7 linked regions of the Ovis aries genome follow. The protein of the gene in region 1 interacts with the protein of each later gene in a pairwise test. Links are inferred from orthologs where the notes say so. Each region holds a gene or a part of one and is shown on either strand. Other genes may lie near its edges.

Region 1 (3,015 bases):
TTTATTTGTACAAGAAATGGAGTCATTTGTCACGTAGAATGCCGTACAGTCTGGATTTTGCTGCCTGCCTTGCATAGCATGCCTAAGCTATTCCTCTTTTCCCATAAATGTGTGATTCAATGGAAACGCTTGATCAGATTCCAGGTAGATTTTTTTTACAAGGCTGTTTGAGAAGTAGTGGTGTGTACTTCTCTCAGGGCACTTAATGTCTTCTTGGCTTTCTTTTTGCCAGTGGCCATCAGTGATCACCACCCAGACCATTAGATTTCTAAATCTCTCAATGTCTCAAAAATTTCCATCTCCTTATCTGTGCTGCATTTTGAGTCATTTCTTCAATTGTAAATTCCAGTTTGCTCAGTCATTTTTCCAGGTACATCCAGTCTGCTGTTTAGCCAGCTGACATAAAAAAAAAAAATTTTTTTTAATGTTTTTTTCTAAATCATTTCTTTTAAATCCCATTTTGTTTCAAGTCTGTTTCTGATCTTGGTAGTAGGTCACGTTTGTGTGGCGTCTTTAACTTCTTTGAACATTGCATACAGAATATGCAGCTGCTCTGTGTGTGACAGTTTTAACACTGGCAGTCTTCGGAGGTCTAAGTCCACTGCTTACTGTCTATTCTGACTCGTCGTAGCTTGCTTGCTTCTGTGACTGGGTATCTTCGGGCTCTTTTCTTGGTCTCAATCAGGGGTAGTCATCGGGGCCTAAATGGGGATCAGGGAGGTTTCAGAGAAGGCTTGCCTCTGCTTTTGTAATAGCTGAAAGTTGCCATCCACCTGGGTCTACACTGGCACCTCTGAGAGGCTCTCATGAGACCAAGCTCAGCATCTCCACTCAAGGCCTGCATCAGCTCAGCTTCCTGATAGCAGAGCTGCCGTGACCACTTACTTTTTTGTAGCCCTGCCTCTCCCAGGCGCTCAGGGCCCACTTCTCTGGTTCTGGCCCTCTGCTCCCAGCTCACTTTTTTAAATTTAAACAAAGGTTTTGTGGCTTATTTATTTATTTTGAGAAGGGAGGAGATTTCCCCTACGTCTTGTGAGACCGACAGTGTCTTAAAGTATATGACCTTTCTAGAGGTTCGCTGTTGTTATGGGAGTGTTCTAAGGACCTAGTTGGTCATGGTGCCAGAATTGGGAAAAGTCTGCCCCCCCCCCCCCCCCCCCGGAATCTGAGCTCTGTGTGTGTGTGTGTGTGTTCCTACAGGAATTCATTGAAGAGTTGCTGTCTCCCCCCTTTGGGGGCCTGGTGGCATTTGTAAAGGAAGCCGAAGCTTTGATTGAGCGAGGACAAGCGGAGCGACTCCGAGGGGAAGAAGGTCTGAGGATGGGGTGGATGGGGTGGGGTGAGGGGAAAGAGGATGGGAAAAGAAAACTGCAAGGATGCAGATTACATGGGGAGGGCGAACACCAGAACGGGGTTGCAGGGTGAGGACCTAGCGGGATCAGACATCACTTAGCCATGATCTTTTTCCTCCTCCTCTCAGCCCGGGTTACTCAGCTGATCCGTGGCTTCGGCAGTTCCTGGAAATCATCGGTGGAGTCTCTGAGTCAGGATGTGATGCGGAGCTTCACCAACTTCAGAAATGGAACCAGCATCATCCAGGTAACCTGTGACTCCCGGTCCCCATTCGCACCCCGCCCCATCACTGGTTTGCCCTCCTCTTTTCTCGGGGCTCGGAATCATACAAGTGACCCTTGATCTTCAACTACCAGCTGTGCCCAAAGTTCTGGCCGAGCCCTAAGCTGACGGCTATCATCATCCTTAGAATCACCCTGCATCTCATCCCTCCGTGACTTTCTCTGAGCAGGGAGCTTTGACCCAGCTGATCCAGCTCTATCATCGCTTCCACCGGGTGCTGTCTCAGCCACAGCTGCGAGCCCTCCCTGCCCGGGCTGAGCTCATCAACATCCATCACCTCATGGTGGAACTCAAGAAGCACAAGCCCAACTTCTGAGGCGCCGGGCCCTGGGGGCCACCAGCCCTCTCCATGGACTTCTGAGCCCCATCCTATCCCCCTTTTCACCCGGGGCTCCCTGCCAGTGCCCCTTTGCCTCCTAGGCTCTCACAGGCCTCACTCTGCCTTCATTCCTGGGACTGTGCTTCGTCAGGATAAGCCGGATCCCCTTGGCTTTGGGCATGTCTCATGTCCAAGTTTCCCAGGACCACTCGCTCCTGGGCTTCCAAACTAACCTCCGTTATCTTTCCAGTGTTGTCATTCCGCTCTTTCCTCCCACTGCCCCACCCCCAAGGCCTTTTTCTTCTCCCAGTAAAACCTTCTGGTTCACTCAGCTCTTGTCATCGTGGCATGAGGTGTGACGCCTCGACTCTTGGAATTGTTGTGGCAAGGGAAGACTGTCTCATAACGGTTGACTTTTTTTTCCCTTCCACTCAGTGATTTATTTTCTGTAGCTTTTTGACCTAAGATCTCAGCAACTTGAACACTAATCAGTCGCCTCCTGGCTTCAGAGTTACATCAAGGTCAGTGTGCAGAAAACAATAAATACTTAATATGATACAACACTCTTTTCCCATTTCTTTTCTCCTCCTCCTGGGAGAGGAGGTCCTTCAAGTAGCCCCGTCTCTGCCCCAGGATCACCTTTGCTCTCTGCCTCCTGGGCCTGCATCCCTTTCTGGTGGGTGTCCAGAAACTCGGGGCCGTGGTTACCTCTAACCTGCAGCTCCTTCAGGCCAAAGTGGCTGCATTGGTTTTAGGGCGGGAACTGTTTCAGGAGTAACCAACCTGGCTGAGGAAGTGACCCTGGTGAAAACGGCAGATGCCGGCCGCCTCGGCTCCTCTAAGGCAGACACCGGCTCTCCTTGCCTCTGGCCTCCCCAGGTTGACGCTGGGATTGCCTTCTCTCCTTGAGGGTCAGCTCCCTAGCTCCTCCGGTGCGACCGTCACAGCCCTTGCTAGGGGGCTGCAGTTGCCATTGCGCTGGGCCGTGAGCAGGCCAGGTCTGCAGTGTGGCCATCTCATCCCTTCCTGTGTCTCGGCCCCTTCCTGCTGCTGCCGCCTTA
Region 2 (3,500 bases), on another chromosome or scaffold:
GCAGGTGTGTTTTCTTTAAGTGGGAAAGGAGATGTGAAAACTAACTCAGACTGCCACCAAGATGCGTGTGTGCGTGCTCTGTCGCTTCACTTGTGTCTGACTCCTTGCGACCCCATGGACTGTAACCTGCCAGGCGCCTCTGTCCATGGGATTCTTCAGCAAGGATACTGGAGTGGGTCGCCATCCCCTCCTCCAGGGGATCTTCCCAACCCAGGGATCGAACCCATGGCTCCTGCAATGGCAGGTGGGTTCTTCACCCGCTGAGCCACTTGGGAAGCCCAATACCAAGATACTCCTGAGCAAACACTCTGCTGAGCTGGGGCACTGGACAGAAGACTTTTACTTAGTGCCTACATTTCAGAAGAGCATGAGCGAGAAAAGAGGCTTCCGTCTCCAGACCCAGAAAGCAGTAATTATGTGGATTCAGGCCTGGTTTGTGACATACTTACTTCCGAATGAAGACTGGCTTAAGGCGAGGCTCCATTTCATCCTCACTGTCTGTGTACTCCTCATACTCAGACTCTGATTCGGACTCCTCCCCAGAACGTCCCTCGTCTTCCACCTCCATGACCTCCAGCTCTTCATTTTTTCTCTCCTGTGCTCTTTGGCGCATCATGCCGCGACGCCGTTCTATTTCCTATCAAGTTACATGTCCAGGCCAGTCAGCCAAATGGCCTGTGCACTGCAGTGGCTTTTTATTCTTACCTCATCAAGCTCAACAAATTCTGGTTGAGTATATGCAACTTAGTACCACTCTATTTCAATCCTATCCAAAACAAGTAGGGAGCACTGGATCAGACTTCTGCCAAAAGCAGATATCTTGTGCTTCTAAGGCCTCAACAAAGGAGCACTGGCCCTAATTTCTTCTTCCACCCAGAAAGAACTTCCCACTTTCCTTAACCATACCTCTTCATCAATCTCTTCTTCCTCTTCCTCACTGCTATCTTCTCGTTCCATGCGCCAAGGATCCCCTTCTACTTCAGAGTCACTTTCTCCAACCACTTCCGGTTCCACTATTTTCCGATGTCGAGCCAATCTGAAAGACAGTGTCTGACTGTAACACCAACCTCACCAAAAGGACATTTCCTCAGTCACAGAGTGCCAGGACATGATGTTTCCTTTTACTAGCACTGAAGCTCTGAGATGAGGAAACTGAGGTGCAGACTAGAGAAACTAACTCCAAGTGTCAGAAGAAATAGTCAAGTTGGACCTAAACCATTACATGTATGCTGAGGCACCCTGGGGCACTGTACCAAGCTAGATGGGTGCACTGGGATATACTGTAAAGCTCAACGTAGTTGAGTTTTAACAGCAGATCACATTATGTTTCCTTTCAATGGTATCGTGACTTTATAAACCTTTTTTTGGGCTGCTGTGATAAAAAGCAAGTTCTGCATGAAAGTCAACAGAGAACAGGAAATGAGTGACTGTGCCAAGGTGACTCCAAGGTTTGAGAAGTTGGTAGTGCCCAAGAGGCACACAAACCCCAAAGCTAAGTAATTGTGGTTATGCAAACATGAAATAAAAATGGTTTTTCTTTTATAGGTATTAAAGTTTTTAAGTTCCTAAGTTGCTAGGACATAAATATTTATTAAATCATTTGGCTCTAACTACTTAATAAAATAAAGAGAATTGTTTGGGCCTAGAGGCTCTGTGAAAGAACTCCTGAGAACATGAACTGTGAAAGTTGGGAACCTCTGGCTACTCTGTAAGGTAATGTCTCAGTCAATACAAAATACACAAAATCCTTCGTTGGAAGGAGTCCCTTTCTGACATGAGACCTCTCATCAGTCCTTTTCTCCTATTTTGTCAGTATCATTTCTCCTCATTAGCTTTTAGAATAACTACCTGGAAAAGGTCAATTTCTCAAATTTTAGAAAACATCTCTGTGCGACAAAGACCCCACAACAAACCAACCAGCGATCTGTGCTTTCAATCCCCTTGAGTCATTTTCCAAACCCCACTCTGCTGTAGTTTCCTGGCTTGTAAAAATGGGGAGAATCATACCCTCATAAAGTCATCATGTGGATTACAACAATTAGTTAAAGTAATATACCAGGAACAGTGCCTGGTGCACAGGAAGTGCGACTCAAGTATTAGCAGTTATTGCTGGGTTCACGCCCAGGATAACATAACCCTTGTCATTACCTCTCCTCCACATCTTCACTAATACGGTTCTGCAAACGCCGCAGCCGAGGGTCACTAGATGAATCCTCCTCCTGTTCCTCGGGCTCTGCTTCTTGTTCTTTGGCTTTCTTAATGAACTGAAACTCTTCATCCTCCTCATCTGAGGACTCCATAGGGGCATAGTCTGGCCTCTTTCCTGACACATAACGTTTTACCTTCACTTTTTCCATCGAAATTTCACCTGGGTAAGAAACAGAACTTACGTTTCAGTAACCTCTTTCCCAATGTCCTTCAACCCTTGGCCTTTCCAGGCAAAAAAGCCCTGTATTCCTGGCAAACCAGGTCCAAGCAGGGGAAGGAGCCCTGACCCAACCATCTATTCAACTACATCTTTTTCCTACAAAGGCCAAGTCATGAGAAGGCATTCCTGTGAACACCAGAACTAATGATAATGAAGTTTAGCTTGGGTACAATGAGTGGAGGAAGGGTGGGCAGTGAAACAATACAAAGTCCCTCCTAATAGGGAGACTACATCCACCTTAACTATATGCTTAAGTGAATTATTTGTAACAGTGCCCAGCACACAGTAAGGGTGACTTAAGTGGGAATATAAAATTAAAATAGCGTTCATTCTTTTAGTTCCTCAAGATATTTCTCTGGCAGTCTTTCTATAATCTATTACCACATAACTCCATCTTCTAATCTTTCTTTCTACCTTTTCTTTTAGCTTATGTGCTACCAAACCTGCAAGAGTAGATTATGTCTTTTACAACAGTTCCAATGAATAGAAAAACAGTGAAAACAAAGCAAAACATTTTCTAAGATGAATACAACTTGGATAACCAAGCTGGACAGTTCAAGGGAAAACTTTAGGTGGACTTCATTTACAAACATAGATACAGGCAACATAAAAACTAACCAAGAAGCCCCTCTAAACTATAGGGACATAATTAAAATTTAGCCCAGGACTACAAGGATGGCTTAACCTTAGAAAATTAACAGGGGGGAAAAGTAATGTACTTTTTAAAGTTTATATAATTACAGTCACACAATCTTAACAACAGATATAGCAAATATATTTAATGATAAAATATTAGAAGCACTCCTTTAAAAAACAGTAGGCATCGTTAGGTTGTCCCTATCATACCTTCTGATCAACATTGTATTATGGTTTCAGGGCAGTAAGAAAAGAAAGAGATAAAAGGTAAGAATTAAAAAGAAAGAAACTGCCACAATTTGCAACCAGTATGATTACTTATGTCGAAAATACAAGATAACCAGAGAAGCTTAAAAAATTCAAGTAGAAAGGTGTATAAATACTAGATAAAAATAAATGTACCTGTACATTGGCTACCTATAATTAGAAAATACAG
Region 3 (3,500 bases), on another chromosome or scaffold:
AACCAGGCTCACAAGCACAGGCACAGATCCGCCGCTCACATCCGTGCCTATCAACCACAGGCACACACTCTGTGTTCTCCAGGCCCTACCTGCTCCGCCAGCTGGTGTTTGTGTTCCGCTGAGGTCTTTTCCAGCTCTGCAATCCGTGTCTGCTGCTGCTGTACCACTGAGCGCAGGTGCTTAATACAGTTGTGGTTTGGCAGCTCATCTTTGGGCATCTCCAGGCTGCCACCCAGGGTGGGAAAAGAACACGACAGGAGCGTTCAATGAGATATGTGGCACAGGCAGGTAACTGCTGAGAGGGCTTTTCTCTACCGGAAATTACTAACATTCATTCATTTCTAACATTCTCTTGTTTACTGCCTTCACTTCCTTCTCCCCAGCTCCCCCACCCACCATATCCCTTTGCTGTCTTCTTCCTCTGGGCCTCTTTCCTTCTCCAAGACAGTGTTTTATCTCCCACGTGGCTCTGCGTTCCTCTTACAGATTCTGCCTGTGGACTCATTCCTTCTGAGAAGCCCTAGATTCAAAGCCCCAGCTATCAGTATTTAATCAAATATCTTACACCCCAAAGAAAGACAAAATAGGACCAGAGGTAACATGAAAGGCCTGGAAATTAGAGCAGTGAATCTGACAAAGAGAAGTAGTACTGGACAAAAGGGAGGAATAAAGTAAATCAGTCTTTAGTGGTATCACACAGATTGCTGAAGCGGTCTCCCTTCTCTTACTAAAGCAAGAGGACAAAGACTGTAGCTCGGAAAGCAGCACAAAACAGATCCTGGAGCAGGGAGCCAGGGAGGCCAAGAGCACTCCTTGCCTATGCACACAGGAGACCTCTTCAGCAGGGAGTGGGAGGTCCACAGATGGGTATAAACGGGAAGACCCCTCTCTGTGGGCAGAAGAAAGGCAGGACTCTTACCCGCAGCCCTGTTCACAGGTCACAGGCCGTTTGGGGTTGTGCTCACAGTCACTGAGGTGAGACATGAGGTTGTCAAGCCGGACGATAGCACTGCAGCCGAACACAGCGTTGTCGCAGGCAATCTGCAGCTTTGACAGCATGTTCCGCATGATCCGAGGTACTGGGCGCAGGTGGGCGACCGTTACAACGCTCCGGTCCACCGGACACGTCTGCTGCTGAGAGAACCACTGGGTGATGCAGGCATTGCAGAAAGCATGCTCACAGTGAGGGGCCTGGAAGAAGTTAAAGCAGGGCAAAGGGGACACAAGAGAATTAGCGGAGCCAGGAGCCTGGGGACGATAACTCTGCAAAGCCGATCAAGCCGCTGTGCAGCTTCCAGCGCCAGAGGTCCCTGGGGTCACGGCAACAGTGAGATCTGCGATGGGTAAGGCTTCAGATGTGTTTCCTGTGCTCAAGATTCCAAATGGATTGTGACATAAGACAAGTAAAAAGTTATATAACAATAAGAACTATAAATAACATTCCAGGACAGTGAGTGCAAGACATAAGGTGGTCAATTATTAAATGCCAACTGGATTACAAATATACAATAATTGGCCAAAAAATCCAGAGGAGGGTGAGATCTTTCCAGTCTAGGTCAGTCAGGGCAGGTATTTATGGACAGGACAGAATTTGATATGGGTCCTGAGGGATGAACTGGGGGGAGGGGGGCAGAGACTTACTGGCAAAAGTTCATTTTTCTTTGGCTGCGAGACCTCAGTTCCCCAACAAAGGACTGAACTTGGGCCACAACAGTGAAAGTGCCAAATCCTTAACCATTAGACCACCAGGGAGCTCCCCCAAGTTCTTATGTTATGAGGCCCAACCCGAGGTGTTGCCCTGAGTCCCAAGGAGCAATGCCTACGCTCCAAAACAGGTCTAGATTTTTGTAGAATCACATTCTCTTCAGTTTCATAAAGATCATATTTCAGCCTACTTCCTTGATAATGCAAAGTGAGAGGATTCTCTGGCCTCCAGCATGGGACAGACAGAGCGGGCACTTACTAGATGTTGATGAATGGATGAATGATGCTGAGCGCTTTTTTATGAGCCAAACATTTTGCTACGTGGTTAAATTTAAAAAGGTAAGACAGTTTCTGCCTTCAAAATGCTCAGATTGTAACATACAAAGGCTTCATAAGAAAAGAAGTCATTATCAATATCATTAATCCAACTGTCACTTTCGCTGAAAGTGAATCAAATAATATTTGATTCTTTTCAAAATCTTAGACCCTATCTCAAAAATCCTAGGTGTGTCCACTTTTCTCCATCTGTACTACCACTAACCCAGTTCAAGTGATCACCTCTCATCTAAATTATCATGTCTTCTAACTGGTCTTCCTGCTTCCACCTTACCCCTTTATAATCCACCCTACACTCAGCACCTGGAGTGATCATTTAGAAATGCAAACTGGATCATATTCCTCACCTGTTTAAAATTTTACAATGGTTTCCCATTACACCTAAAATAAATCCAAACTCCTGCCCAGGACTTAAAAATTCTGTTTGATCTGGCCCTGTGCCTCTCCTCACACCATGCTCCCAGCACTGACTTCAGGCCCTTCTGGCATTCTCTCTTCCTCATCCCACCCTGCTCATTACTGTCTCTTGCTTTTGCTGCTCCCCTTTGCTGGCCCCTTATCGTTCTGATCTCAGCTCAGTTGAACCTCTTTCATGACCTTTCTATCTAAACCTGCCACCCCTGCGGAAGTATACAGAAGGCGCTACTTTTGTGTAAGAAAGGTAGGCAAATATATGTGTACATTCACACTTGCTTGTATCTGCCCCCATACACACTGGAAGGATACCAAATTAACAGAAATGGCTATTGATGAGGGGATTAGGTGGACTGGGACAAAGATGAATTAAGACTTTTCACCATACATCTTTTTCTACTGTTTTGATTTCTAAACCATATGACTTTATTATCTATTTTTAAAAAAATGATGTAGGGAAATCAGCATCCCTAGCAGAAGTTTTCTGTCCTTGGACATGCGTCTATTAACCTGGCTTGCTCCTCAGACAGTAAAGCCTGAGTGGGTGGGGGAGGATTTTCTGTCTCAGAGAGTCACTAACTGCCACTGATTTCTCCACACGTGACTCACCTCAAATGACGGTGCCAGAAAACAGACAAGGCCCTGTCAGGGTGGAGAGGGAACTGACACACCCCATGACCTCTTGACACCACGAGGACAGCCTGCTCCACACCCAGCCAATCTGCTTCTAATGGCATGCGTGCGTGCTAAGTTGCTTCAGTCATGTCTGACTCTTTGCAACCCTATGGACTGTCGTCCACCAGGCTCCTCCGTGTCTATGGGATTTCCCAGGCAAGAATACTGGAGTGGGTTACCATTTCCCTCTCCAGGGGATCTTCCTGACCCAGGGATCGAACCTACATCTCTTACATCTCCTGCACTGGTAGGCAGGTTCTTTACCACTAGCGCCACCTGGCAGCAGGCTGCAAAGGCAGGCGATAGGGCCAGGGCTTGCTGTCACTGGAATGCATTCTGATTTTCATTCAGTTCAGTCATCTGTGTTCCTT
Region 4 (3,500 bases), on another chromosome or scaffold:
TTAGATTTTAGGAAAATCTAGGGCCTGTCCATGGGCCTAGATTAAGAAACTTTGGTTCTAGCCATAGCTCCGTATCTGCTATGTTCAATAACTGGGGGAAATCTCTGTCATCACTCCTCCAACAATGGACATACATTTTGTTTAGTTTACCCTAAGTTATATGTTTTCCTTTGGGTTCAGTCCAAGAAAGATGCTAGTAGAAGTAGAAAGTTATTTTTTATGGGTATAATATGTGCTAAAAAAAATAATTTTTTAAGGAAAATAAAGTGAAAGAAAGGTTTGTTTTGCTTTGTTCTGACTTTTGTTTTAATTCTATTAAATAGTAGTAGCCATCACTTAGCAATAGCACTGGTGTTTTCTGGCAGGCTACCTGACTCAGTGTTCTATCACTGTATCATTTTAAAAGTACCCTTTGACATCTTCCTAAATGTGTATACTTGACTATAACAACAGCAACAACAGCAACCAATAGGAAACAAGCTAAAACAGAACTGAGGTCTATTACTAAGGCCGAAAGCTTCTGGGAAAGTCAAGATGGGTCAGGTTTTTCCCAGTCTCATAATCCACTTTTGTGACCGTGGCCTTTTTTGTTAGGTGTTACAATCACATGGGCTGTTTGTCACGCTGTTTCTGAAATATCTCCATATCTCAAAGAGAGCCTCTTTATTAACAGCTTCCATGAGGAAATTCCAAGAGCAGAATGAGACGTTCCAGGCCAACAGAGCCAGAATGGCAGAAGGGCTGGCTTTGGCATTGGCCAGAAAGGACCAGGTATTTAACGTGTGGCACTGCCCAGACTGGGGGGAAAGTCTCACTTGGCGACATGCTTTCAAAACTCATGCCATAAACCTGGTAGGAAATATGTACAATCTAGGAGAAAAGGATTGTGCTTTGTAAGTTCTTTGAAAGTTCATTTGGCTGTAGGGTGGGAAATTATCCAGAAACTTTATAGTTGTGATCGTAGAATGTGTCCATATGTGAGTATCCTTTTCCAACTGTGTAGCTGTGTAAAATAGAGAAGGAAAAGAAGTAGTATGTCCATAATCTGGTGATGAGCTCCCCCCAAGATGAGGGAAAAAAGAATCTCTGCCCTCCAAAAACCTGTCTGAAAGCCTGTCCCAAAGCACTTACCTTGTTATAGTGGAGAAGGTGCTATTAAGCTAGCGATCATCCATGATGTACATAGTTCTTACAACCTTTGTCCCAAGTTTCTTCTTCCCCAGCCAGCTAGACTGAGAGGAATTTCTGTAACCTCAATAGAACCATCCATTGAAAGATGCTGAATAAATGACAGTAGAAAAGGAAAATAATACTATTACTGGTTATTACAGTAATTATAAAGTTTATTTTGTTCAGTGGCATTTTAAATTTAGGATAAACATCAAATATTGTAATGATTGTGGAGAAGGAAATGGCAACCCACTCCTGTATTCTTGCCTGGAGAATCCCAGGGACAGGGAAGCCTGGGGGGCTGCCATCTATGGGGTCGCACAGAGTCAGACACAACTGAAGCGACTTAGCATGCTTGCATTATAATGATAACACTTGTTTTACAGTGTGTATTAGTCATCTCAGACATTAACCAGCTAGGAAAAAACATCATTCACCAATATTTAGTGAATAACTGTGGTGTGAATGTAAATGAAGAAATAATCTAGCATTGGTGGACTTGATTGTAGGCAATTAGGATATAGCCTTTTGTCCCAGTGGTTATTTTTTACCCTCTTCTGTGATTGGTGAATAAGAGGCATAGTCCTTTCTTCTTTAACTTTTATCAGATGGCATGAAGGATATTGGTAAAAATTAAAATGAGAAGGAAAATAATGATCAGGGACTCCTGAAGACCACCCTGTTCACCTCTTTTTCAGTAAATTAATTTTTAAGTGTCAACTGCGGAGTTACCAACTCAGCTGCTCCCTGCTACCCACTCCTAAGAAATAATAACAGTACTCAGAGACAGAGACTCAGAAAGAAGGTGAAAGCTGCATCAGAAGAGCTATATAGCTTTATGTGCTCTGCTTTGTAAAAGTTTTCTGGCTTATATTTGTGCTCTAGAATTTTATATAAAATTCATTTTCTTCTCCTTTTAGGACTCTTGGCTTTCTTACTGTTAAGCCAACATCGTGGCTTTTTTAATGTGCTATTTTGTTTGATTGATATGTTGCTTTGGGTGAGGTGGGAGGGTTATTTTGTTTTCTGAAAATCTTGATTTTGTTGATACTCTTGCCTGGAAACTGTACTTCTTTATTGTTTTGTTTTAGGAATGGTCAGAAAAAGTGGATCAGCTTGAAAAGGTTAGTTCATCTTATTTTTGTCTCCTTGTGAATATTGGCCTCTTCTCTGGGGCTTGGAAAATGCTTTCTCCAGTACCTAGTACACTGGTACCACTTCTTGGCAGCAGGGTGCCAGGTGATTAGACACTGACTTGGAAAGCTCTTGTCTTCGTTTATAGTTGTGATCTGTTGTTTGCCCTTCTTGGTGTACTCTCTACCCATCTCCTGCCTTTCTCTGTGTGTCTGAAGGCCCATAGGGACTGCATCAGCAGGGCTCCGTTGCCCTCTGGCTTGTAATTGAGGGCCCCAGTGGGGAACACCAAAAGATCTAGGTGGAAGAGTGTGATCAGAAGTTTATTCCCCCAGCCATCTCCACGTGAGGTCCCTTCTATTTGATTGCATCCCATGGCCAAAGGTCACAGCTTCAGTTTTACCTGTGGTTCACCCTCAGCTATATAGTTTCTCTTTCTGTGTTTCTTGTCTCTTTCTTGTGTTTCTTCTTTATGCCTTTGCCCCCTTTATGCCCAATGCTACTAGCACATTATCTCTTTTGGATTTTCTTACCCCACCCACAGCTTTGAAAAGTCTCTATGAGACTCTCCAAAATCCCTAATTTGAGTCTGCTTCCTGCTAGAGCCCAGATTGACACGGTGTTAACACTGGGAATACTTTTTGAGGATGCAGTGGGGAAGGAGAGCATTTCTGAAGGCTTAATGCTGAGCAGATAAGAGAACTTCTTAGCTAGACATAGATGAGAAGAATTGATTATTCCAGCACCATGACACTGTGTAGGTGCCTTATGTAATGTGTTCCTGGCTCTGAGACATGAACAGGAAAATGAAATTTCACACCTACAATTAGAAACACATTTTAATTTAAAATAATCAATTGTCAGTTTGCTCAACCCAAATTATATGCTGCTTCCTAATTCATTCCTTCTTTTCATTCAGTACTTATTCTTTATGATAGAAAATGATTTCTCAGATTGATATATTCAACTATATAATATATTTACTATTAATTTTATTAAAATAATGAGTTTTATTATTGCACCATTCTTGGGATAAAACACCAATTAAACCAGCAGTTTTCTTTGTGTGTTCTAAAGAAATCTGATTATGCAAGCTATCAGAATGTCTTAACATATTTATGTAAGGGAAGAATTATAGAAAAATCAAGCTATCTCCCAAAGAAACTTGTGTTTAAAAGAAATATGTATATATACAC
Region 5 (4,125 bases), on another chromosome or scaffold:
CATGCCGTGGGGCAACTAACGCCACGTGCCACAACTGCCTGTGTGCTCTAGAGCCCGTGCTCCCCAACAAGTGAGACCACCACTATGCGAAGCCTGCACAGCACAGCTAGAGAGCATACCCCGCTCGCCACAACTAGACAAAGCCTGTGTGCAGCAACCAAGACCCAGTGCAGCCAAAAAGAAACAGCTAAATAAACACAAATTTTAAAAAAGGAGAAGCTGTCAGAGTGGATAAAAAAGCAAAACCTAGGGTCTTCCCTGATGGTTTAGTGGTTAAGACGTTGCACTTCCAATGCAGAGGGCCAGGGTTCAATCCCTGGTCAGGGAACAAGATCCCACATGCTGCAACTAGAGCCGATGCAGCCAAATAAATTAAAAATAAACATTTTTTTTTAAAAAGCAAAACCTAACTATACAAGTAACAGCTTTTCAAATAAATTTAAAACTAAGTTAAGAATAAAAAGATGGAAAAAGATATACCATACTAACGCCTGTCAGTCAAAAGTAAGTAGGAGTGTTTTAAAATAAGAGTAAGATTTCAGAGCAAGGAATATTACCTGGGATAGTGCAGATTATTTCACAATGATAAAGAGGTCAGTTCAGGAAGAGGACACAATAAACCTAAACATTTGCACTCCTTATAACAGAGCATCCAGTCTCATGAAGGAAAACCTGATAAAACAACAAGGAAACCCACAATTATTATTAAAGATTTCAATACCTTACTCTCAGTAACTGATAGATCAAGTAGAGAGAAATTACCAGCAAGGATATAATAGACTTGGAAAAGAGAAGAACCAAAGAAACCAGCACAGGACTTACAGGTCTAGTGCTAAAGAATCCACCTGCCAAGGTAGGGAACACAGGCTCAGTCTTTAATCCGGGAAGATCCCACATGCCTCGGGGAAACTAAACCAACGCGAAGCAACTACTGCGCCTGTGCCCTAGAGACACTGCTCCGCAACAAGAGAAACCACCAAAATGAGAGGCCCTCACACCGCAACTAGAGAAAGTCCGTGGGCAGCAAGAAAGACGAAGCACAGCCAAAAGTAAATCAATAAAAGTTTTAGAAAAGAAACCCATACAACCTCTAACTGACATCTGGAGAACTACACTCAACAACAAGATACCAGACATTCTTTTCAACTGCACACACAATAGAATTTAACTACAAACCAATAAAAGGAAGGTATTCGGAATATCTGGAAACTAAATAACATACTCCTAAATAATCCACCGCCCAAAGAAGAAATCAAAGGAGAAATTAGAAACTATACTGAATTAAGTGGAAATGAAAGCACAGCACATTAGAAGTGATGAGATACAGCTCACGCACTACTTCGGGAAATTCACATGAATCCTATATTAGAAAAATAGGAAGGCCTCAAATCAATGACCTCAGCTTTCACCTTAAGAAACTAGAAAAAGAACAAAAATAAACTCAAAGTAAGCAGAAGAAAGTAAATAACGAAAGTCAAAACAGAGATAAACACAACAGAAAGCAAAAAAAGAGACGAGAGAAAATAAATGAAAGCACAGCTGGTTCTCTGGGAAGACCGGTGTTTCTTGAGCGCCTCCTATGGGTCAAACACCGTTCTGTCACTGGGGCTACGGCAGTAAACACAACACACAAAAACCCCGGGTACATTCCCTCAATTAGGTCTTTATGACGTCGTTCCTTCTACCTGGAATACTCTCCCCAGATAATCTACTTGTCTCATTCTTTCCTGCTTTATTTTTCACCAAGGAAATTCCTGTCTTCTGACACACCATTTTTCTTTCGTTCGTTTTTCTGCCTGTTTCTTCTCTCTCTCCTCTCTCTTTCTTACTTTGTGTCTATACGGCTCTCTGTTTCTTTCTTTCCTTCTCTCTTTCTTTTTTGTTTCTCCTACTGTTCCTTTCTTCCTTCCTGTCAGTCTGTCTGCCCTTCCATTTATAGACCCCCCACACTAGAACGTAAGCTCCACAAGGCATAAGTTGTTGTGCTTTCTTCACTGCTTTATCACCAGCATCTACAACTGGGCCTGAAACGCTGTAGGTGCTAGATAAATACTTGTTTAACAGATGAATCCTTGCTGTCATAGAGTTTACATTTTCTCTTTCAATGTAGGATTTGAAGATCAGTGCTCAGAAAGTGGGAGATCTTAGAGTCAAAAGCCAAATGTTAATTTTGGAAATCAAAATTTAAAGCTCCTAAATTAGGAGCTAAGGATCAAAGATCATATTTGGAGGTGAGATGTCAGAAGGAGCCTGTGAGCTATAGTTTTAAGATAGGTCTCAGGACTGGGGTCAGGAAGCTCAAATTGAGTTTTGAATGTGGAATTAGTCAATGGATATGAAACTCTGAGGGCCAAAGTTTCAGAAAGGACGGGGTTATGATAAAAACTAGCTTGGAAATTGATTTTATCAAGGGTTAGACTCGGGGGTTAGAGGTCAGAGTAAGCATTAGAAGACAGATTTAGGATTAAGAGGTTGGAAAATCAGTATCAGGGACTAACAGGGAATCAGATGTGGGATCATCCTAAGGCTCGGTGTGGCAGGCTAAGGTTCACTCACGTGTCGCCATCCTCAGTGACGTAGCCGAAAACGAGGGGCGCCCACGACAGCCCCGGGCCCAGCTCCGCGCCTAGCCCAGGTCCTCCAGGGGCCGCCGCGTCCGGACCCAGAGAGCCCAGGCCGCTGTCGCACCATTCATCGGCGTCCGCAGCTTTCCCCAAACACGCGACCCCGGCCATAGCCCCCAAAGCCTCAGGGGACCCCAGCGGCTGCCCGCCAGTCGCTGGGCTCTGCCTGGAATTCTGGCGCTTCCGCCCTGCTGGGAATTCCCCAACACTCCCCCCGGACTCATCCAATCAGAGTCGGCTAAATAGTAAGCGCCCCGCCCTCATACTACACCGTGACCAATCAGAGTATTCAGATGGACTGCGACTCTCTACCCTTTCCCACTCATTCCGCGCGCCCTTTACCAACATGGCTGCGGACGCGAGGCACTCTGGGATTCGTAGTCCGGCTCTCGCGTGTCTCTTCTTACCTCAGAGGGGCACGCTCCGGACGTTTTTCTATGCCTCCTGGGAGTTGTAGTTCTTTGACCTATCTCTGCCCCCCTCCTGTTTCCGGTGCCGTCACGGGATAGAGCAGTCGGTGACAGTCCCGAGGGCCCCCGCCCCGCGCCCATGGCCGATCCGGATCGTGAGTCGGGGGCCCTGGTGGGAGGGTCGGGCCGCGCCGGGGCCTGGCTGAGGGCTGCAGGCCCCGGGGCCCGAGGGCGGGAGTGGTGGGGCAGGAGATGGGGGCTGCATGGAGGGGAATGAGGTTCAGGGAGCCGTTGTGATATATATTGCTGGATAGATTGGTGGGTTTCTGGGTCTCGAGGTTTTAAGGGTCCGTTTGCCACTTCCCCTAAGTGACTAATGATAGCGTGTGTCTCGCACCTTAGTTGCTAAGGACCCTTGTTACTAGGGACTTAGAATACCGCTGTCCGGGTTGCTAAGGGTACCTGGTTGTTAGTGGGAACTGTAGGGTGCTGGGGACCCCTGGTGTCCCCTCCTATCTCTTCCTTCCTCTTGTAAACCTGCCATCTCGCCCTTCCGTTCCGCCCCCACCACCTCTTCTTGCAAACTTGCCTCCAGCCCCAGTATCCCTTATCTTCTCTTTCTTTCTACATTTTCTTCTGCTTGTAAACCTAACCCTCCCAGCACACACTCACACACTACTGTGTCCTTCCTAACTCCTCCTAAGTCTTCCTTCATGCCCTTATATGCTTTACTTTCTTTTCGCTTTCCTAAGCCTCCATGTCCCAGCCTCTTTGTCCTTCACCAACCACCTCTCCTCCCAGCACTCTCCACTCTAATAAGATCTGCTTTTCTTCCTTTCCCTCCCTCCATCTACTCCCTTTTGATACCCCCACCCCATATAACTAGGTTGGAGGTCTTGTTGCCCCTCTCTACCCCGACTTAGAAGCCCTTCATTCCCCCTTAACCAATCCCTTCACTGTAACCACGTCTGCTCCCCCTCCTCCCCCAGCCTCTGACCCTGAGGAGACCCAGGCAGGGAAGGTGCAGGAGGCTCAGGTGAGATGGGGACAAGGGTGGAGGGAAGGAGAGAGATGGACTTCCCACACCCCAC
Region 6 (3,997 bases), on another chromosome or scaffold:
GAGCAGACAGTGCCCCAAGGAAGGCCCAGTTCCGGGTGAGAAAGGGGGAGCTGTTTGCTCTGGTCCTGGGAGGTCCCTGCTCCCAACAGCAGACCTCGGAGTTTGCTGACCATGGCCCAGGAGGGTGCCAGGAAGGTATGGAACCCAGACCCCACGTGTCCACACTCAGGAATGCCACTCTCACCATCAGGGAGGACTCGGCCACAGGTGGCCGGGCAGTTGGGGCCCTGGAAGGTCTTGCAGTCACCAGTCGGAACCTTCCACATCCAGGTGTTGCCATCAGCCGTGCCCGCCAGGAGGACAGGTGCCCGAGGGTGCCACTCCATCCACTGGGCAGAGACAAAGGCTCAACAGGGGTACCCCCTACCCCATCTTGCCTAGAAGCCTGCCCCCGGAACTCCACCAAGCTCTCCCTGCTACCGAGTCAGTGGGGACATCCCAGGTGACGGGCCCAGACACTCCTGCTATCCTCTGGGAGAGCACTGGCTCAGAGCTGGCTTGATCCGTTCAAGGTGGCATGGGCCCCTGAGCTCTCCCCACTCCACTCGGCCCTCAGAGTTGAATCCTACTGTGACAGTCTCACCTCTAGATCTCCTGCTTCAAACGACCAGACCTCCTCCTTTGTGTCCACCTGCCACACTTTTAAGAGACCACTCATGTCTCCTGTGGCCACTAGGGTAGAGTCATGGCTGAAACCAGCACAAGTCACGGAGTCTTTATGGCCTGCAGAGAGTGAGCAGAAAGAGAAGAGAATGTCGGGGTACCTGGTGCTGGGGATACAGGACCCAGGTGTCCAGCCCCCAGAAAGTACCAGCTTGGAAAAACAGGATGAGTCCCCACAGAACAGGTAACCAAACTCAGAGCTGCTGCAGAGGCCAACACCCCCAGCTCTCCCCAGGCAAGACACTGCTGGGCCCCCACTTGACCGTGTGTAGCCCAGACTTATGTCTTCCCCATTCTGTCCACATCACACCTCTGCCTGAAATATCCACAGCCTCCTTCCCACCCCCATTCTCCGTCACTAGTGCCGCCTCCTCCAACTCTTTCCCTGACTCCCTTGGCCAATCAGCGTCTCCCTCCCCCACGCCCACAAAAGACTAGGCTATTCTTTGGGGCTCTTGGGATAAGCATAGAGCTGGCAAAACAGAGGTCAATAAATGGCTGTTGGATGTACAACCACTGCAGGCCAGCCCCCTAAGACCTCCAAAGAGGCAGGACTTCATCGAGCCCCCTCACCTGCACACTCAAAGAGCAGTTCCCCATCGCTGAGCCTCCACACAAAGGCTTTGTCGTCTTCGCCTCCTGTCACTGCCAAGGTGTTGGTCTTGGGGTCCAGGCTCACACAGAACACTGATGCTGTCCCAAGAGATATTCCAAGAGTAAGGAAGTGGGGATCCCACCTAGGTCCCGTCCTTCAGGACCTTTGGGGAGCCCACCCCGTTCCACCTAAAGCAACATGTCTTTCTTCCTAGAAAAGAAGAGTGCATCCAAGCTCTTCTAAGTTTCAAGCATTCAGTTGTTGAAGTCCTCCCCAAGCTTGCCAAATTCTAAGTCCCTCCCCAGGACACATCACCCTCCTGCGCTCTTCCCTTCACCCCACACTTCTGTGGTGGACAAGAGGAGGGGACGTGTGTAGGGCTTACAGTTCTCAGAGTGGGATGCCACCAGGTTGGGGGCTGAGTGAGGAAAGCCTGTGTTACTGGTTCCTTATCAAAAGTTAATATTTAAGAGGTTTATCCATAAGGTACTATTATCCCTAATTCAGAGTAAAGGAACTTTTATCAATGACAACTTTTTAAAAGGAAACTAAAGCCTAGAGACGTCAATAAAGATCATAAACAACCAAATAGCAGAGACAGGATTTGAACCCAAGTGTGTCTCAACCGACTCCAGGAGCCAACAGCTCCTCCACCACAAAGGCAACATTTTCCCACCGCTACACAGCGGATGATGTTCTAATGTCCACCTGGACTGATCTTAGGACAGCTCTCCCCAGGGACCTACCAGAATGCAATGCAAAAGTGACCTCGCTGTCGTCGGGGCCCTCCATGCTGCCGACCACCCCTTCCTGGGGTTCCAGGACCCAGCCCTCCTCATTGCCCTCTTCTTCTTCCTCTTCCTCGAAGTCCACATCTTCCATCTCCTGGACCAGATCGTCTGCTTTGGGGAGAGGGTTAACAGACGGTGTGCGGCAGGCGGGAAGAGGGATGGCAAGTGTGGGGAGGCCCGAGGCTGGGGTGGTCATGTGGCGAGAGGGCAAGGTGAGGTCAGACAGGAGGGGTGAAGCGGGGAGGGGGTGAGAGGCGGCAGGGAGGAGGGGGCGTGCGGAACGAAGGACCGGAGAGCTCTGAGGATCTGGGGTTGGCCAGAGACCGTGTGGGAAGGGAGGACCGAAGGAATGATGGGAAGGGGGTGTGTGAGGGGAAGGGCCAGGGGAGGCGTCAGGGGAACCCCCACCCCGGGCCAGGCCTGAGAACTAAGTGTGGGGCTGGGGGAGAGGGGAAGGGCGAAGGAGGTAAGTAGGAATGATAGGTGGGGTGGGGTGGGGAGCAGAGGGGGGAAAAGCCGGGGTCAAAAGCCAGGGGTAAGAGCCTCTTGTCCCATGGCCTGAGGATCCGCAGCTCTTACCCGGGTCCGGAGGACCAGGGTCCAGTTCTACCACCTCGATAATCTCTTCGTCACCATGGAAGCTTAGAGTCTCCAACGGGGGGGTGTCAGCAGCGGCCCCGCTCTCCGATTCGGACTCCATGCGGCGCAAGCGGCGGACCCACTTCTCTGGGCCCAAACGCCTCCCAGAGTCAGCTCTGCGCGACGACGCGGAACTCGGGCCCCTCCTCCCGGGAGGAAGTAGGCGTAGGCGACTCCCCGGCAGGGAGAGCGACGGCCTCTTGACCAATAGCGAAAGGGGTGGACCGGCTGAGTCACCAATCACAGGGCAGAAGCGGGAGACGAGGCCGAGGCGTGGAGAGGAGAACCCAAACTCTGCCCGACCTGACTCCGCCCCCAACAGGAGGGAAACAAGCGAGTGTGCGCGCTTCCGGGCTCTCCTGGGAAGAGTAGTTCTCTTGGGTACGCTGCTTGGGCTTCTGGGAGTTGTAGTTTCTGATCTGTAGGCCGGACGGATACAGCGGGGGAGGCCCCTTACGCAAACTACAATTCCCAGCGGGGACTGCGGTGAAGGGGGGGTGGGATCTGAACATGGCGGCGGTGGTAGCTGCTACGGCGCTGAAGGGCCGAGGGGCGAGAAATGCCCGCGTTCTCCGGGGTAAGGAGAGGGACCCCGGGGAGGGCGGGACTGGAGGGGATACCCTTTTTTTTCACATCCCGCTAAGCTGTAGCAGGAGTTCAGGGCTGTCGATTGTTGCCCGCATCCCTCTGCAGGATTTTAGAGTCTGGGGGCTAAAAGGTGCTCTTTAAAAGTCAACCAGTCCATCCCTCAGCCTACGACACCTCTGGGGTCTTGCACGGAAAGGGAGCCTCAAGGAAGCCTTTTAGACCCCCGCGCTCCAGGTGTTTCACACTCACCGCAGTGCAGAGGAAAAGGGCCCTGGGCTTCTGGAGGCTTGGGTTCTAGCCCCGGATAATTAGCAGTTTGACCTTGGGCGAAGCGGTTCGTCTCTTGGGGCTTCAGTTTCCTCTTCTATAAAATGAGGGGATGGAGTAGACTACCTTTAAGCTCCCCCTCCAGTGCTAACATTCTGCAGTTTGCAAACCATTTCTCGGATTTTCTTTCACACGTCTCACGCGAGCCCCACTGCAGTCCCTTCACATCCTGAGGTCTGAGGAGATGAAGAACAGCGAAGCTCGCTCTCCCGGCACTAGGGTGATGAGCCTGCAGTGACGTGGAAGCGGCTTTCAAAGGTGCCACCTCGATGGCGATTTTCCCATTTCCCTCTGGACTCTCTCAGGCACCTGTTACTCCAAATTGCAGTCACTCCCCTTCCTCAGATCTCAACCAGTCCTCCCTAGGCTTTCTTCTCCTCTTCTCTTAACTGAC
Region 7 (4,006 bases), about 20 Mb from region 1:
CTTCTGCTCCCTCTGGTCCTGCAGAGCGACTGTCTGGAGCCTCCCTTGTTGGGGTCTCTGACGACGCTGTGGTCCCTTCTGGGTCCATTCTTGGAATCGGCCTCTCGTCTTTTCTCCCCCATTCCTCTGAGCAGTCTTTTCTTTCTTCTCCTGAACTCGGCCTCCACTCTGATGCCTCCAGTTGTCCCAAACTCTGTCCCGGAGACTCTTTGGGGTCAGGCCTCCATTTATGGGAGTCTGTCAGGCCCAGCTTCTGGTTGTCAGACTCTTCGGGGCTCCGTTTACTGTCCACCACCTCTGTTCTCCTGGGGCTTTGTTCTCGGGGCTCTGCCAGTCTCAAACTCCGCTCAGGAGTTTCTCCAGGGCTCAGCCTCCATTTCCGCACCTCTGACAGTCTAGAGCTCCTGTCTCCAGCCTCTCCTGGGCTCTGCCTCCAGTCCCGAGACTCCAAAGGCCTGGGGCTCGACTCTCGAGCGCCCCCTATCCCCAGCCTCTTCTCTCTGGCCTCCCTAGGACTGAGCCGCTCTTCCCTGGACTCTCTTCCCTTGGGGCTGGGATCCCGTGTCTCCCCGGGGCTGGGTCTCCGCCCCCGGGTCTCCAAAGGTCCAGGCCGTTTGTCCGTGAGTAGCTCTTCACTCCGCTGCTGTTGCTGCTGCTGCTGCTGCTGCTGCTGCTGCTGGCGCTCTTGCCGGATAAATCGGTTCTGGTGCACAGGCCCAATGGCCTCCAGGAGGACAGCAGACTCGTCTGGGTTTGGAGGTCCAGCCTCCGTAGTCCCAGGCGCAGGGCTAGGCTCCCCAGGAGACAGACCAAGCTTGGCCCGGCGGCGCTCCAGAAGGCCCCGCTTCCAGGCTGGCATCTGCGACAGCCGCTCCCGCTCTGCCGTCTCACGGCCGCGAACGGCTGCCTCTTCCTGCCGGCGCCGGGCTAGCAGCTGTAGCTTCCAGTCTGGGATGGTGGCCATGGTCGCCTTGGGGAGGGTGGGGGAACGCTGGGGGGCAGAGAACAGGAAGGAGAGGCTCCAGAGGGGCCCAGGAGGTGAGAATGGGGGTGGGGGAGAGGAAGCAGGGGGAGAGGTGGGTCACAGAGGAGCTGAGGGTGAGGACAGTAGGAAAGGGGGCGGCGGAGGGGAGCAGAGAAAGGGGAAAACCTGAGAAAGTGAAGAGGAAACTAAGAGCCAGGTGATGGGGTTGGGGGAGGTGGGTCGAGAGGAACAGTGGAGATTCAGGGCAAAGAGACAGGAGTCAGATTTGTGGGTACAGGTTACTGGGCATCAGAGACAGTCCCCAGGTTGTGAGAAGAGGGAAAAACGAAAGAAGCTGGCACGAGGGAGAAGAGAGAAGAGAGGCTGGGGGTGAGCGGGGCAGGATCCGACCGAGGTTGCCTGACCGCTACCTCAGGAGCGGCGGGAGTGGGAAGCGAGGTCAGCGGGATCCCCGGCGGAGAGGGGGCAGTGGGACCTGAAGGGGTGTCGGGAAGGTGGGAGGGCGGAGAGTGGACAGGTCCAGGGGAGAAGGGGGAATCGGGGGCAGAGGGGCGAGGGAGCTCGGCGGCTGTAGCCGGGCGAGTCTCGGCGCGGGCCCCGGAGGTCCGGGCTCCCCTTCCAGCTCCGCTTGAGCCACGCCTCTCAGACCCCCCAGCCCCCACCCCTCCGCCCTGCACTCCGCCCCGGGGCGGGCCAGGGGAAATACCCTCCCCCGGGGACTTTCGGAACCCGGCGATCGGAGCTGCCAGCTCGTTCCCAGAACCCTGGCGTCCACCCCCCACCAACCCTAACCCGGTCCGGGCCCCGCCGCCGGCCTCCCCCACCGGCGATGCCCCGGGGTCCCGGGCGAGCGAGCGCCTCAGGCGTACGGAGCACCGGCTCCACACCGCTTCTCTCCGGAGCCGGCCAGTCTCGCGCCGGGGTCTCGGCGCTCATGGAACCCCGACCTCGCCAGCCGTCCCCACCCGGCTATGACCGCACTGACGGGCAATCTCGGCACAAAGAGAGGAGAGGCAGCCCGAGGTCCGCGCCCGGGACGGAAGGGAGGGGACACCCCCTCCCCAAGTCTGAAGCCCCTGGGTCAACTCACATGCCGCGGGGCTCCCGGGGGAGGGGGTGCGAAGGAGCCTGACGTCCGGAGAGAGGAGGAGAGAGGAAGAGGAGGAGAGAGGGATAGAGGGAGATCCGGGGCAGGAGGTGGGGGGGGGCGCGGGGGGCGCGGGAGGGGGGAAGGGAGGAGAAGGGGAGGGACGGAGACAGACCCGGGGGCCGAGCGGGGGGCGGCCGCCGCTTTGTCTGAGGACAATGGGGAGAGGGAAGGGGGCGCTGGGCGGAGCCGGGCGCGGGGGCGGAGCCTCGCTCCCCGGGTCCCCCGCGTGGATCCTCGGCCCCGGGACTCCTGTTTTCCCGCCGCGATCCCCGGCACTCCGCGGTCCTTCCCCAGGGCCTCTCACGCGGCTGCCGCCCGGTAACCCTGGACAGCCCAGGTGTCCAGACCCCCACCCCCAGCTAGCCAAGCCGGGGCGGCGGCCCGTGACTCAGACCCCTCGAGGGACTTCGGGAGGAAGCGGCAGCTGCTCGGAGCCGGGCCCGCCCTTCCCATCTCCTGCCGCTCCTCCCCACGCTTTTGCCTTCCCGGGCCAGCCTTTGTTACCGTGGGGGCGCTTGCGGGGCCCGTGGGGAGGGGGCGGCCACAGGAGCAGGGCTGGGAAGACAACGGTTTCGGAAGCTCGCTCCCTTACCCGAACCGTCTCCCCACTCTTCCGTTTCAGCCCGTCCCCCACCCGGGTCTGCAGCAAGGAAATTGGGAGATTTGGAGGAAGGGGGACCGGGTGCTCCGGGAAGGGGGTGGAGGGCTGGGTGCGCGGGGAGTGGCCGCCGCCCAGCGGTCACCAGAAGGCGCGGCCGATGCCCAGACTCCAATGTAACTCGCCTTTCCCAGAGCCAGCCCTGCAGCTTTGAGAGACACTGACAGACTGCATTCTACACGTAGAAAAACCAGACTGAATTTTATTTTCCTGTAGCGTGAGTTCCTCGGGAAAGCAGGGAGCCTCTAGTCACCTTAGCTAAGAACGGGAGAAACCGCTCAACTAGGTTCAGGAGGATGGAGCCTAGGGTCGGGGCCTAGGGAGCTGAAAAGGCCAGACAGTGGGCCTCGGTCCAGCCCCTGGGAGGGAGCTAGACGTGGAGAAAGGATCCCTGAGGCACAGAGGGTAGTAACAGGGCTAAGGGAGTGGTCAAGCCAGACTCTTCTCTTGGTGAGGAAATTGTTAACGGAGGGTCAAGCCCTGAACTGTGAGAAGAAGTTCCCAGCCACTCCTTCCTGGCTGGTGAGAAGTGGCCCTTGGAGTCCAATGGCTGAAATTCAGTATGGAGCTGGAACCAAGGAGTGGAGGCTCAAGCAAGGAAAGGGACCACTCCTTCAGTCCATGGATTTGGGCCTCTGGTCTGAAGCAGCCAAGGCCTAGATGTTAAGGGAATTTGGGATAGGAGGGAGAGAGGAAGTACAGGGCTTGCAACCAGGGTTAACCCCTTACTCGGCCTCCCCATCCTGGGGCCGGGAGAGCAGGTGGAGTTTTCTTTGTAGCTGGGCCCGGAGATAGCGGAGATCATGCTGGTCCAGTCCGTGAGCCAGGCCCAGGTAGAGGGTAAGGAGGAGAGCAAGGAGCAGGCGGTCAGTGCCCAGGGTGGGTACCACCCATAGCACTGTCAGCAGCTCCACGCACACTGGATGGCGCAGGTGGGAGAAGAGTCTCAGAGCCCGGGGCGACTTCAGGGCCAGAGGCTCGCCCAGCCCCAGCACATGGTAGTACACCTAGCAGAGGGAGAATGGCTTAGGAATGGAGCCAAGCCCTTGTCACAACTTAACTGCCTCTTTCCTCCCGTCCTGGGCACCCTCCTTCTATGACAGGCTCAGGAACCACCCTCCTGAGACTGGAGGTCCCTGACCCTCATCTCTGGCCCATGAACCTTCCCAGGCCCAAGAAGCCCATGATTCCTAGCCTTTGAGGGAGGGCTGGG

Evidence for each region.
Region 2: the proteins of VPS52 (region 1) and MFAP1 interact in binary tests that used the Homo sapiens proteins (3 or more experiments, as listed by UniProt). The two-hybrid records come from large-scale screens. The link is inferred for Ovis aries from reciprocal best matches to the Homo sapiens genes VPS52 and MFAP1.
Region 3: the proteins of VPS52 (region 1) and RNF41 interact in binary tests that used the Homo sapiens proteins (3 or more experiments, as listed by UniProt). The link is inferred for Ovis aries from reciprocal best matches to the Homo sapiens genes VPS52 and RNF41.
Region 4: the proteins of VPS52 (region 1) and GOLGA1 interact in binary tests that used the Homo sapiens proteins (3 or more experiments, as listed by UniProt). The two-hybrid records come from large-scale screens. The link is inferred for Ovis aries from reciprocal best matches to the Homo sapiens genes VPS52 and GOLGA1.
Region 5: the proteins of VPS52 (region 1) and NFKBIB interact in binary tests that used the Homo sapiens proteins (3 or more experiments, as listed by UniProt). The two-hybrid records come from large-scale screens. The link is inferred for Ovis aries from reciprocal best matches to the Homo sapiens genes VPS52 and NFKBIB.
Region 6: the proteins of VPS52 (region 1) and AAMP interact in a two-hybrid assay, tested with the Homo sapiens proteins (2 studies listed by BioGRID and IntAct). The link is inferred for Ovis aries from reciprocal best matches to the Homo sapiens genes VPS52 and AAMP.
Region 7: the proteins of VPS52 (region 1) and PPP1R18 interact in binary tests that used the Homo sapiens proteins (3 or more experiments, as listed by UniProt). The two-hybrid records come from large-scale screens. The link is inferred for Ovis aries from reciprocal best matches to the Homo sapiens genes VPS52 and PPP1R18.

What each region holds. Positions count from the first base shown.
Region 1 is NC_056073.1:7,583,037-7,586,051, reverse strand, and holds the end of VPS52 (vacuolar protein sorting-associated protein 52 homolog), read left to right. Parts: intron 1-1,200; coding exon 1,201-1,312; intron 1,313-1,480; coding exon 1,481-1,599; intron 1,600-1,804; coding exon 1,805-1,951; 3' UTR 1,952-2,515; downstream 2,516-3,015. UniProt on the Homo sapiens protein: Acts as a component of the GARP complex that is involved in retrograde transport from early and late endosomes to the trans-Golgi network (TGN).
Region 2 is NC_056071.1:53,261,622-53,265,121, forward strand, and holds part of MFAP1 (microfibrillar-associated protein 1), read right to left. Parts: intron 2,369-3,500; coding exon 2,149-2,368; intron 1,037-2,148; coding exon 907-1,036; intron 638-906; coding exon 450-637; intron 1-449. UniProt on the Homo sapiens protein: Involved in pre-mRNA splicing as a component of the spliceosome.
Region 3 is NC_056056.1:163,342,686-163,346,185, reverse strand, and holds part of RNF41 (E3 ubiquitin-protein ligase NRDP1), read right to left. Parts: exon of another isoform or gene 1,192-3,500; coding exon 920-1,191; exon of another isoform or gene 226-919; coding exon 90-225; exon of another isoform or gene 1-89. UniProt on the Homo sapiens protein: Acts as E3 ubiquitin-protein ligase and regulates the degradation of target proteins. Polyubiquitinates MYD88. Negatively regulates MYD88-dependent production of pro-inflammatory cytokines.
Region 4 is NC_056056.1:10,987,164-10,990,663, forward strand, and holds part of GOLGA1 (golgin subfamily A member 1), read left to right. Parts: intron 1-673; coding exon 674-771; intron 772-2,261; coding exon 2,262-2,294; intron 2,295-3,500. UniProt on the Homo sapiens protein: Involved in vesicular trafficking at the Golgi apparatus level. Involved in endosome-to-Golgi trafficking. Mechanistically, captures transport vesicles arriving from endosomes via the protein TBC1D23.
Region 5 is NC_056067.1:47,982,114-47,986,238, reverse strand, and holds the start of NFKBIB (NF-kappa-B inhibitor beta), read right to left. Parts: upstream 2,801-4,125; 5' UTR 2,736-2,800; coding exon 2,557-2,735; intron 329-2,556; exon of another isoform or gene 256-328; intron 1-255. Other genes in the region: SIRT2 (NAD-dependent protein deacetylase sirtuin-2), read left to right, coding at 3,174-3,189, 4,024-4,070. UniProt on the Homo sapiens protein: Inhibits NF-kappa-B by complexing with and trapping it in the cytoplasm.
Region 6 is NC_056055.1:220,305,940-220,309,936, forward strand, and holds the start of AAMP (angio-associated migratory cell protein), read right to left. Parts: upstream 2,801-3,997; 5' UTR 2,750-2,800; coding exon 2,629-2,749; intron 2,161-2,628; coding exon 2,005-2,160; intron 1,357-2,004; coding exon 1,237-1,356; intron 724-1,236; coding exon 584-723; intron 330-583; coding exon 185-329; intron 1-184. UniProt on the Homo sapiens protein: Plays a role in angiogenesis and cell migration. In smooth muscle cell migration, may act through the RhoA pathway.
Region 7 is NC_056073.1:27,438,566-27,442,571, reverse strand, and holds the start of PPP1R18 (phostensin), read right to left. Parts: upstream 2,801-4,006; 5' UTR 2,728-2,800; exon of another isoform or gene 2,076-2,727; intron 992-2,075; 5' UTR 965-991; coding exon 1-964. Other genes in the region: NRM (nurim), read right to left, coding at 3,519-3,800.